Linked DNA regions of Oryzias latipes. The protein of the gene in region 1 binds, or shares a complex with, the protein of each later gene. Links are inferred from orthologs where the notes say so. Each region holds a gene or a part of one and is shown in the gene's direction. Other genes may lie near its edges. The genes, in order: thoc3, thoc7 and thoc6.

Region 1 (3,378 bases):
GACCTTCATGCAGACGTGAGGGACGATTGTCTCACGTCAGTCACCATGAGTTTCCATGAGGTTCCAGACCCAAACCAGACGAGAAGAATTTGACCCTAGAAGCTGCTGGAAAACCTCAGTCAGAGTGAGATCACCTGTGCAGGTAAAACCCTGCAGCTTTGACCCGCCCCCCCCCCCCCCCCCCCCCCCCCCCCCCCCCCTCTGATGGGGGAATTGAACCCTCACACTGATTTTCTGCATCCAGTTTCCATGTTTTTAAACCGGAATTTTCACACCTGAAATAAACTGCAGTTCAGATCAAACCAAACAGTCTTTGTCTTTTTCATTGGTGAATTATTAGCAGAAGTAAGTAATGAAGTCACTTTTTAAAACACGTCTACATTTTACAGATTATTTTACGGTCTGCCTTATTTGTTTGTACTAAATAAAAGCACATATCATATGAAGTATTAGTTATTTTTGACCTGATGATGTCAGCACCACCTTTGCAATTTTCTTTCATCTCTGGAATCTAAAATCAGGGAAAAGAAAAATCCTGTCAGTGACACAAAAAGTGTTTTATTTGAAGAATACTGTCATTTCTTTGTGACACTTTAGTTCCAAAATGCTCCAAAAATATGAGAATATGTCTATGTTTAATGCCTGTAAAGATAAGATTAATTATCTTAAATAATAAATATTTTATCTTTATTTATTTATTATCAATGGGGAAATTATCTGGATCATCTGGTTTTTCTATTTTCAAAAGTCTTTTCCCATAATTCCAGTTGATCCAAGAATTTCCCAAAAAGTAACAATAGTTCAAAGATCTGTCTTCAGTAACGCGTCAACTCACTGGTCGATGAGTAAACTGCACGCGCGGTCCTCCGGCCAGCAGGGGGCCCTCGCGCTCTCCTCTAAAAACCATACGTCACACAGTGGGACCAAGATGGCGTCGCAGTACTATCAGGAGATGCAGGAGAGCTTCAGAAATAACAGCAAAAGTCGGGAGTTTCCGGCTCATTCGGCGAAAGTTCACTCGGTGGCGTGGAGCTGCGACGGCCGGAGGCTGGCGTCCGGGTCTTTCGACAAAACCGCGAGCGTTTTCGTCCTGGAAAAGGACCGCTTGGTGAGAAACCGGCTCGTTTTCTGCTAGCATGCTAGCTTTAGCACAAAGACAGACGCGCGTGCCAAACTCCTTGGAAGGTTATTTAAAAACAGAGAAGTGATGGATTCAGAGGAGAAGGCGGTGTTTTGTCACTGTGGATCGCCCTTAAAAAGTCAAAATAAAACTAAAGTAATAATAAAAACTATTAAAAAAAAAGAAGCAGCTGATGTTTCCAGCTGGGAGTTACTTGAAGGGGAAAATATTCACCTCAAGTCATGAAATGTTCCGTCAGCTTCTTTAATCCATCATCTTAGTTGATGCACATCTGAGGTTCTGAAGCTAGTGAGGTTCTGGGTTTGAATCCTGACTCTGAGTTTGCATCAGGAAGCTGAAGTCTTCCAACTTTCATGTTTCTGTGTTGGACAAAGACTTCAGCGGTGGAGGAGGAAGACCCACTGCAGCATAAATGTTAACTCATACCGTTTTAGAACGGTACTAAACGTTTAATGGCCACCAACCACTGAAGTGCGTCTTCTCCCCAGGTCAAGGACAACAACTACAGGGGTCACGGCGACAGCGTGGATCAGCTGTGCTGGCATCCCAACAACCCGGACCTGTTTGTTACGGCGTCCGGAGACAAAACCATCCGCATCTGGGACGTCCGCACCACCAAGTGCATCGCCACCGTAAACACAAAGGGTAACCGGGACGGATCTGAAGACCCGGAACGATGTCGAGGAACGTTTTAACGTCTGAACTGACTTTGTTTCCAGGTGAAAACATCAACATCTGCTGGAGTCCAGACGGCCAGACCATCGCCGTCGGGAACAAGGACGACGTGGTGACCTTCATCGACGCAAAGACGCACCGCTCCAGGGCGGAGGAGCAGTTCAAGTTCGAGGTGAACGAGATCTCCTGGAACAACGACAACGACATGTTCTTCCTGACCAACGGCAACGGCTGCATCAACATCCTGAGGTCAGAGCGCCACTGTCGCATGCCGACCCGCGCCCACCGGTCACATTGAAATAAAAACAGGTTCTGGTGCTGCGCAGTTACCCGGAGCTGAAGCCCATCCAGTCCATCAACGCTCACCCGTCCAACTGCATCTGCATCAAGTTCGACCCCACGGGGAAGTACTTCGCCACGGGAAGCGCCGACGCGCTGGTCAGCCTGTGGGACGTGGAGGAGCTGGTGTGCGTGCGCTGCTTCTCCAGGTGGGTTGAGCCGCCGAGGGTCCGGCGTTTGCTGCGAGCTTTGTTCGAGTCTCTGCTCTGCTGCAGGCTGGACTGGCCGGTGAGGACGCTGAGCTTCAGCCACGACGGCAAGATGTTGGCTTCAGCGTCGGAGGATCACTTCATCGACATCGCGGAGGTGGAAACGGGTCAGTAAACCTGCAGCCGCACAGGCGGTGAAGATCCCGCCCACTCGGCTGTCACTCAAAGCCCATCTCTCCTCCACCCTACAGGGGAGAAGCTGTGGGAGGTGCAGTGTGACTCCCCCACCTTCACCGTCGCCTGGCACCCAAAGAGACCCCTGCTGGCCTACGCCTGCGACGACAAGGAGGGCAAGTACGACAACAACCGCGAGGCGGGGACGGTCAAGCTCTTTGGCCTTCCCAACGACTCCTAAGGGGGGCTGCGGGCGCTCTGCAGTAACGTCCCGTCTCCAGCAGAGGGAGCTCCTCACTCACCCCCTTTTATTTTGTACTGTACAGCTGTAAAATACTTTTTTATAATAAAATCATTTTTAACCTGCAGAAAAACTTAAAACTGTTTCTGATTTTACATTGAGTTTAACTTATGCTTGAACTGAGCTGCAACTATCGGAATAAATATTTTAGTATTTGACTAAAATGATAAATTATAGAAATGTGTATCGGAGTAAGATGCTGGAGAAAATACTATAGATAGAAAAACAGTTCCTCCTGTGCTGGGACACTTCAGTTATACGTGTGGGTTGAATTTCACGGATTTGGTCCTTTATTTTGACCATAATTAACCCTTGTGCTATCTTAGATGACCCCCCCTCCCATTGACATGTTCTCCCTACCATGACAAAGGTGGATAAAGGTGGAAAGATTTCATGTAATCCATGGACACCAGTGAAGATCACAAATCATTGAAGAAAAAAGATTCAGAGCACTGTCGGTGGGTCTAGATCAGTGTTTTTCAACCTTTTCTGAGCCACGGCACACTTTAACCTTAAAAAAAATCCCGCGGCACACCAGCATCCAAAAATTTTAAAAAAGAAGGATAAACTCATAGTCTGTATTGATCTACAGCCCCTCC
Region 2 (3,756 bases), on another chromosome or scaffold:
CTTTTTGAGATTGTTAAAAAAGGTGCTTTGCTTGTATTTTCAAAACCATAACACACTCCCACTTAAAATGTTTGGTTAAATCTAGGCATGAATATGTTAACCTCTGATTTCTAATTGGCAAACTGCTGAAAGTTTGTACTGTTTTCCTGTAAATCTAATATACGCGTGAACCTTTGTTAAATAACAAAACTCTATTTGCCCACACGGCTGGTGTTCTGGTGAGAAATAGAGCACATTAAGTTTCAAACAAGTTTCATTGTAATTTTCTAAGGTGTAGGAACAAACATGAAATCAGACCTGAATTGATCTGTCAGAAAAAAAACGAGGAAGTGGTGACCAAGAAAATATGTTGGCCAAATGAAAACCTGTTTAAATCTATAGTTGAAGCAGGTATTGTACCTATAACCGTACCAGTAACATTACTATTTATGAATTATTATAAATGGTGAAATTAAAGCTAGATAGAAATCTTTGTCCTCAATAGCCACTTAGTAGCTAAAGGTTCTTATAGAACAGAGGTCTGCAACCTGAGGCTCCGGAGTTACATGCAGCTCCTTTATGATTCCATTGTGGCTCTTTGGTTTTGAAAAAAAAACGCTAACGATTTGAGTTACTAATAATGTTTTGGGGTTGTTTTTTTTTTTTTTTAATTTATTTATTAAACTTTCTTTTATTTGGATTCTGCTCCAATGTTGTCATGTTAATATATGACTATAAAAGTAGAAAAGAACGAATATGCAGCAAAGTCTGACTGATAGAAAAGTCTATGTTTGACCTGACTTTCTTACATGTTTTATTCAAGTGAGTCTGTTGGAGGATTTAATTTGACATGAGGTTTATTTCGTTTGAAAGGAACCTATATATGCTGCTGTCAAAAGTAAAGGAAGTTAATATTTTAATAGAAAGAAAATGATAAAACTTTCATAATTCAATTATTTTAATATCTAAATGCTACATGGTAAAAATGAATGGTTTAATGGTAAAACAAAATATGTAATGTGCCATTCTCGATTGATAATTCAGCTTGCAATTTAAGCATTCAATCTAAAAAATGCATTTTAGAATTTAAAATTCAATGTGTAATGCTACAATGTAAGCTGACATTTTTAAAAGCAAAATGTTAAATAAAACAAAATCAATTGTATTCTAAACTGTCATTGGTTTTTAGTCCAATAATATTCTGCAATATAATAAAAGTTCAATTTTGCTGTTGAGTCTAAAAAGCACAAAAATGTGGGAAAAAAATTGCCACATTGAATGTCCACCAATAGGGGGCAGTAGAAAATGAAACCGCTGATTTTAACCTGGAAAAAGAATCTTGCTCTACCGGAAATAGTATTGCTCATTGCAAACATGGGGGCCGTAACAGATGGTAATTTGGTGGTTACTTCGTTTAATATAAAGTTTTATTAAAAATAAATAAAGTGTTTATGTGTTAAGTTATTGTATACAATAGCTTATTTCTAGAATGTAGCAGTGTTTACGCAATCAGTTGGGAGAACTGTGCAGCTAATTTATTGCCCTGCAGTGCTAGCTCAGATTAGCAGGTTGCAATCTAGCCTATAGTTTATCTTGTCTCTTTCGTTTCTGTTAAAGATGAAGTCATTCGGAAACGTCTTCTTATTGATGGCGACGGAGCCGGAGATGACCGCCGGATCAACCTGCTGCTTAAAAGCTTCACTAAATGGTGCAACTCGCCCGGGACTCCGGAGGAAGGGTCAGTGCTGAATGAATCTGAGTCTGAGCTGACGCATCAGAAGATTTACTTTCCAGATTTTAATGTGATTTAGCATTTACGAACAACTCTTCTTGCGAAAGAAAAGTCACATTAGTTAGTTCTTACGTTGTGTGTACAGGCAATTCCAAGCTAGTTTATCAAACTCCATAGAAGGTTAACGGGTCTCAGTTGCATGCAGTTATACTTACCCAAGGAGAAGAGTAACTGTCTTCTCTACAATCTATGGCAAGCAGAGTGTGACACACAGCACAATGTTTCAACTCTGACCATGCATTTCAAAAGGCTGTTTCTATACATTTCCATGATGTGTTTTTATATACCCGAAGAGTAGAATGGTGTCTTCCTTGTTAAATATGCAACAAAAAATCTCACTTTAATTCCTTGTGGTCTTGTGTTTGCGTGTAGATTCACACAGTACCAGCGGATGTTGGGCACTCTGGCTCAGTGTGAGTTTTCCATGGGAAAGACGTTGATGGTTTATGACATGAATCTTAGAGAAATGGAAAACTATGAGAAGATCTATTCAAATATAGGTGAGGTTTTATTGCTCTCGTCTGGAAGCATTTCTGTTTACAATATTAGATTTCATCTATATACCCCCCCCCCCACCCTCCCCCCATTGCAGAACAAAACATCACATCTGCACATGAGAAGATTGCAGAATGCAAAAAAGATATTCAGAGGGCAAAGAGGATACGAAAAAATCGCCAAGGCAAGGATATTTTGATATGGATTGCATATTTTATTTATTGTCCTTTTTCAATAACATCCTTGGAGTATTATAAATATGTTTGTATTTTTTCCAGAATATGATGCATTAGCCAAGGTAATCCAGCAGCATCCAGATAGGCATGAAACACTCAAGTAAGTGGCTCCGTTAATTCAGATTTTCGATTGCTTGTAAACAGCGTACAACAGTTTTGCTTCATTTTTATTTATTTATTTTCTTTCAGGCAGCTAGAGGCGCTTGACAAAGAGCTCCAACAACTGTCCCACATCAAAGAGAATGTGGATGCAAAGGTATATCCAAACAGAATTTATGCAGCTTCTGTGTATTTCGCTGATGATTTGATTTATTTTAAAGTTGTTGTTTTTTTCTATCAAATTTACTGTTCCACCATAGTTGGAGTTGAGGAAGAAGCAGTTCCACGTTCTTCTTACCACCATTCAGGAGCTACAACAGACACTTGAGAGTGAGCACTTTATTCTTAATGCCAACTGATTTTAAAATTGTTTCAAAAAGTTAAACTCAAAATTTGTCTTCTTTTAGATGATGAGAAGTCAGATATTGAAGATGCCAGTCAAGAGAGCCCTGCAGGGAACAGTGAATAACAGTGGAACAGAATGAAATGTTCTTAAATGAGTTTGGGTTTGTGAGACAGAATGCTTTTCGTATGTATTTTTGAATAAAATTCTCTTGATTCTGTCGCTCTGTCTGGTTTTCCCTTTTATTGTTTCAAATAAAAATAAAAAAATCAAAGTTCACAGACTGATAATAATTTCCCTCTATATATATGCCCAAATAAAACAATGAACATAAAAACATGCTCCACACTCGAGGTGATTATAACAATATATAAAAGGAAAACATCTGTGTGCCCATATAATGACTTTTGCTGCTGTAAGATAATCATTCCTGTTAGAAACAGCAGATTCTACTGGACTACCCAAACACAACAACTGAACATTTACACTAACATGTAATTTGGAGATGCAGAAAACAGATCCTTCAAAGTTTTTAGAACTCTACTAGGTATGCACGGGCCTGCAAAAGGCGCTTAAGGCGATTCTGCAAAGTAGCCCTCTTACTGCCGATGTCAAAGTCCTCCTTCAGCAGGAAATCCAAGTTCTCCTTGTCCTGAATCATCTGCAGCATCTCTCTCTGGAGCTGGCTGGCTGATTGTTGCAGCATTTCATAACGGATCACCAGGGGGATTTGATCAGCTAGACGCATGCCAGCAATCTGCAGGATAATGTGGAATAAAAGATAGAAGCCATAGCAGCTATGCATACATTTA
Region 3 (3,756 bases), on another chromosome or scaffold:
GTTGATGTTGTTGTGGGTTTGTGGTATTGGTGTTGTGTGTTTGCAGTGTTGATGTTGTTGTGTGTTTGTGGTGTTGATGTTGTGTTTCTGTGGTTTTGTTGTGTGTTTGTTGTGTTGATGTTGTTGTGGGTTTGTGGTATTGGTGTTGTGTGTTTGCAGTGTTGATGTTGTTGTGTGTTTGTTGTGTTGATGTTGTTGTGTATTTGTGGTGTTGATGTTGTGTTTCTGTGGTGTTGTTGTGTGTTTGTTGTGTTGATGTTGTTGTGTGTTTGTTGTGTTGATGTTGTTGTGTGTTTGTGGTGTTGATGTTGTGTTTCTGTGGTGTTGTTGTGTGTTTGTTGTGTTGATGTTGTTGTGGGTTTGTGGTATTGGTGTTGTGTGTTTGCAGTGTTGATGTTGTGTTTCTGTGGTGTTGTTGTGTGTTTGTGGTGTTGTGCTTTTTGATGTGGAGTTGGTGGAGGAGGACAGGTGGTTAGTGAGGTGCCCCCCCAGGAACCTGTGGACCTTCTCCACAGCAGCATTTATGTCTTTTCTATGAGACGCTTAATGTGTGCAGAGAAGTGGGTCAGGGTTTGAGACGGGTAAAAAGGCTTTTTTGTATTTGTAGCCTTTGTTGGTGTTGAAGAAAAAAATAAAAGAAAGCAGACATACTTTGTGGAGTCCGTGTGAACTTCCTAACCAATGCTTTCAATCCCAATATTTGAAACAGTTTAAAGCTCAGGTTCTGATCTTCTGCTGCAGCAGAACCGTTTGTGGAGTACTGAGATTTTGCGGCTCTGACTCGGTTTTGTCGGTAAGAAACTGGATCAAATGGATCTGTCAGAGGTTGCAGGTTCAGCTGTTGAATCAATAAAATCCTTCTAAGTACACACACTCACGCACACACACTCACGCACACCCACACTCACGCACACACCCACCCACACACACACTCACACACACACACACGCACACAGCAGCTGATTAGAAAAAGCTCAACTGTTCCTGCTGAGCCATCAGGTCAGAAATCTTTGTCACACCACTACAACTCCCAGCATGCCGTGCGTTCCTGTGACGTCATATTCTCGAGCCAGAGGTTTTCGCGCCTTGTGCGCCGCTAGGTTTATTGTCTGGAAGTTCAGTGTTGTTCGGTTCTGGGGGTTCCAGGTCGGCGGCAGGATGGGACCGGTCGAGGTGAGTTACCCGAACACGGACTCGGTTCGCGCGCACAGAATCCCGGTGTCACTTTTATCGAACCGAGCCTGAAGTCCGTCCACGGAGGAGGAGACTCAGACAGACGGCTTCATCATCCGAACCCCGCTCAGGTTCCGTTTCCGCTGGCGAATAAACCGTAAAGGAATACGGAGCCACAGAACCACAAAGTCCAATACCTGATCCAGAACCTTCATTCTGAACAGAACATCAGTAAAAACATTTGGTAGAAAAACCGCAGCGACTTCAGCCAAACGCAGCAAACTGATATTAATGGAGGCTTTATTTATGACACATCCCCTGGGGGGGAGGGGGGGGGGGTGTTACATCATGCTTCACGGTACACGCGTCCCGGTAAAGCGCTAATTAACTGGAGAGAAATTCAGGTTCGAGTCCCACTCAGGCTTCCTCGTCCATAGTATAACATGTTTATAAAGCTCCATATGGCTGTGATGGTCATGAACATCATAACCAACAATAATCCACCGACAGTCACCTTAGAACGAGCTGAATGACCAGACATGCAATCTAATGAATACATTTGTACATCAAATAACTCGGCTGATATTAGCGCTTTACCGTCTTTGTGGACCAGAAACCAGGATGTAAACATTTTACGCTAAAACTCAGTGACGGCTGGCCGGACCGCACTTCACCAGACCACGGTCTGGTTCCGATTCAATGTGACTGAGAAAAGAACCAAAGTTCTGGATGAGTAGCTGCTGTTCTGGATGTTCTAACCGGACTCTGGTTCCGCCCCCAGCTGCTCCACATGTCCGTCTTCTCTCAGAGCTTCTCTCCCTGCGGACGCTTCCTGGCGGCCGGGAACAACTACGGGGAGATCGGCCTGTTCAGGTGAGCGAAACGAGCGCCGCCGTGCACGGGCGGGCGGGCGCGCACGGCGGCGCTCTCAGCTGTGTCTCCGTCTCCAGTTTGTCAGCAGCTCTCAGCCCAGATGCCGGTGCCGCCAGCCTCAAACCGGTCCTGACATTCACAGGTGAGTCCGTCCGGCTGGACCGGGTCCAGGAGAAGGTTCTTCCGGTGATCGTGGTCCGGGTCCGGCAGAAGGTTCTAGTTGAACGTTGGGTCTCGTCCTGCAGCTCACGAGGGTCCAGTCTTCAGCCTTCTGTCGGCGGACGGCGTCCTGCTGAGTGCTGGAAACGGCGAGGTCAGCGCCTGGAGCTGGACCGAGCTCAGCAAGAAGGTGAGGCTCCTCGGAACCAGAACCCCAGTCCTCCTGGACCTCCAGGTGACCTCCTGCCCTTTGTCCTCAGAGCGTAAAGCCCCTGTGGAGCAAGAGACCCACTTACAGGTGAGAACACGCACACACAGACACACACAGACACACAAAGAGACGCACACACAGACGCACACGAAGAGACGCACACACAGACACACACAGACACACACAGAGACGCACACACACATAGACACACACACACAGACGCACACAAAGAGACGCACACACAGACGCACACACACAGACGCACACACACAGACGCACACAAAGAGACGCACACACAGACGCACACACACAGACGCACACAAAGAGACGCACACACAGACGCACACACAGACGCACACACAGACGCACACACAGACGCACACAGAGACGCACACAGAGACGCACACAGAGACGCACACAGAGACGCACACAGAGACGCACACACAGACGCACACACAGACGCACACACAGACGCACACACACAGACGCACCCACACAGACGCACACAAAGAGACGCACACAAAGAGACGCACACACAGACGCACACACAGACGCACACACACAGACGCACACACAGACGCACACAGAGACGCACACAGAGACGCACACAGAGACGCACACAGAGACGCACACAGAGACGCACCCACACAGACGCACCCACACAGACGCACCCACACAGACGCACACACACAGACGCACACACAGACGCACCCACACAGACGCACACACACAGACGCACACAGAGACGCACCCACACAGACGCACCCACACAGAGACGCACCCACACAGACGCACACACAGACGCACACACAGAGACGCACACACAGAGACGCACACACAGAGACGCACACACAGAGACGCACACAGAGACGCACACAGAGACGCACACAGAGACGCACACAGAGACGCACACACACAGACGCACACACAGACGCACACACAGACACACAGACGCACACACACAGACGCACACACACAGACGCGCACACAGACGCACACACAGACGCACACACAGACGCACACACACACAGACGCACACACACACAGACGCACACACACAGACGCACACACACAGACGCACACACACAGACGCACACACACAGACGCACACATAGACGCACACACAGACGCGCACACACAGACGCACACACACAGATGCACACACAGAGACGCACACCCAGACGCACACCCAGACGCACACACAGACGCACATACACAGACGCACATACAGACGCGCACACACAGACGCGCACACACAGACGCGCACACACAGACGCGCACACACAGACGCGCACACACAGACGCGCACACACAGACGCACACATAGACGCACACATAGA

Evidence for each region.
Region 2: thoc3 (region 1) and thoc7 share a complex: the UniProt entries of both Homo sapiens proteins name them as parts of the transcription/export (TREX) complex. The link is inferred for Oryzias latipes from reciprocal best matches to the Homo sapiens genes THOC3 and THOC7.
Region 3: thoc3 (region 1) and thoc6 share a complex: the UniProt entries of both Homo sapiens proteins name them as parts of the transcription/export (TREX) complex. The link is inferred for Oryzias latipes from reciprocal best matches to the Homo sapiens genes THOC3 and THOC6.

What each region holds. Positions count from the first base shown.
Region 1 is NC_019868.2:29,382,772-29,386,149, reverse strand, and holds thoc3 (THO complex subunit 3), read left to right. Parts: upstream 1-893; 5' UTR 894-928; coding exon 929-1,108; intron 1,109-1,629; coding exon 1,630-1,786; intron 1,787-1,860; coding exon 1,861-2,065; intron 2,066-2,142; coding exon 2,143-2,304; intron 2,305-2,370; coding exon 2,371-2,471; intron 2,472-2,555; coding exon 2,556-2,719; 3' UTR 2,720-2,859; downstream 2,860-3,378. UniProt on the Homo sapiens protein: Component of the THO subcomplex of the TREX complex which is thought to couple mRNA transcription, processing and nuclear export, and which specifically associates with spliced mRNA and not with unspliced pre-mRNA.
Region 2 is NC_019863.2:16,703,299-16,707,054, forward strand, and holds thoc7 (THO complex subunit 7 homolog), read left to right. Parts: upstream 1-1,264; 5' UTR 1,265-1,284; coding exon 1,285-1,372; intron 1,373-1,596; coding exon 1,597-1,717; intron 1,718-2,143; coding exon 2,144-2,271; intron 2,272-2,363; coding exon 2,364-2,450; intron 2,451-2,544; coding exon 2,545-2,602; intron 2,603-2,691; coding exon 2,692-2,758; intron 2,759-2,861; coding exon 2,862-2,931; exon of another isoform or gene 2,932-3,008; coding exon 3,009-3,070; 3' UTR 3,071-3,166; downstream 3,167-3,756. Other genes in the region: interferon-induced GTP-binding protein Mx, read right to left, coding at 3,477-3,701. UniProt on the Homo sapiens protein: Component of the THO subcomplex of the TREX complex which is thought to couple mRNA transcription, processing and nuclear export, and which specifically associates with spliced mRNA and not with unspliced pre-mRNA.
Region 3 is NC_019866.2:289,708-293,463, reverse strand, and holds the start of thoc6 (THO complex subunit 6 homolog), read left to right. Parts: upstream 1-1,020; 5' UTR 1,021-1,035; coding exon 1,036-1,173; intron 1,174-1,954; coding exon 1,955-2,046; intron 2,047-2,123; coding exon 2,124-2,188; intron 2,189-2,291; coding exon 2,292-2,395; intron 2,396-2,465; coding exon 2,466-2,503; intron 2,504-3,756. UniProt on the Homo sapiens protein: Component of the THO subcomplex of the TREX complex which is thought to couple mRNA transcription, processing and nuclear export, and which specifically associates with spliced mRNA and not with unspliced pre-mRNA.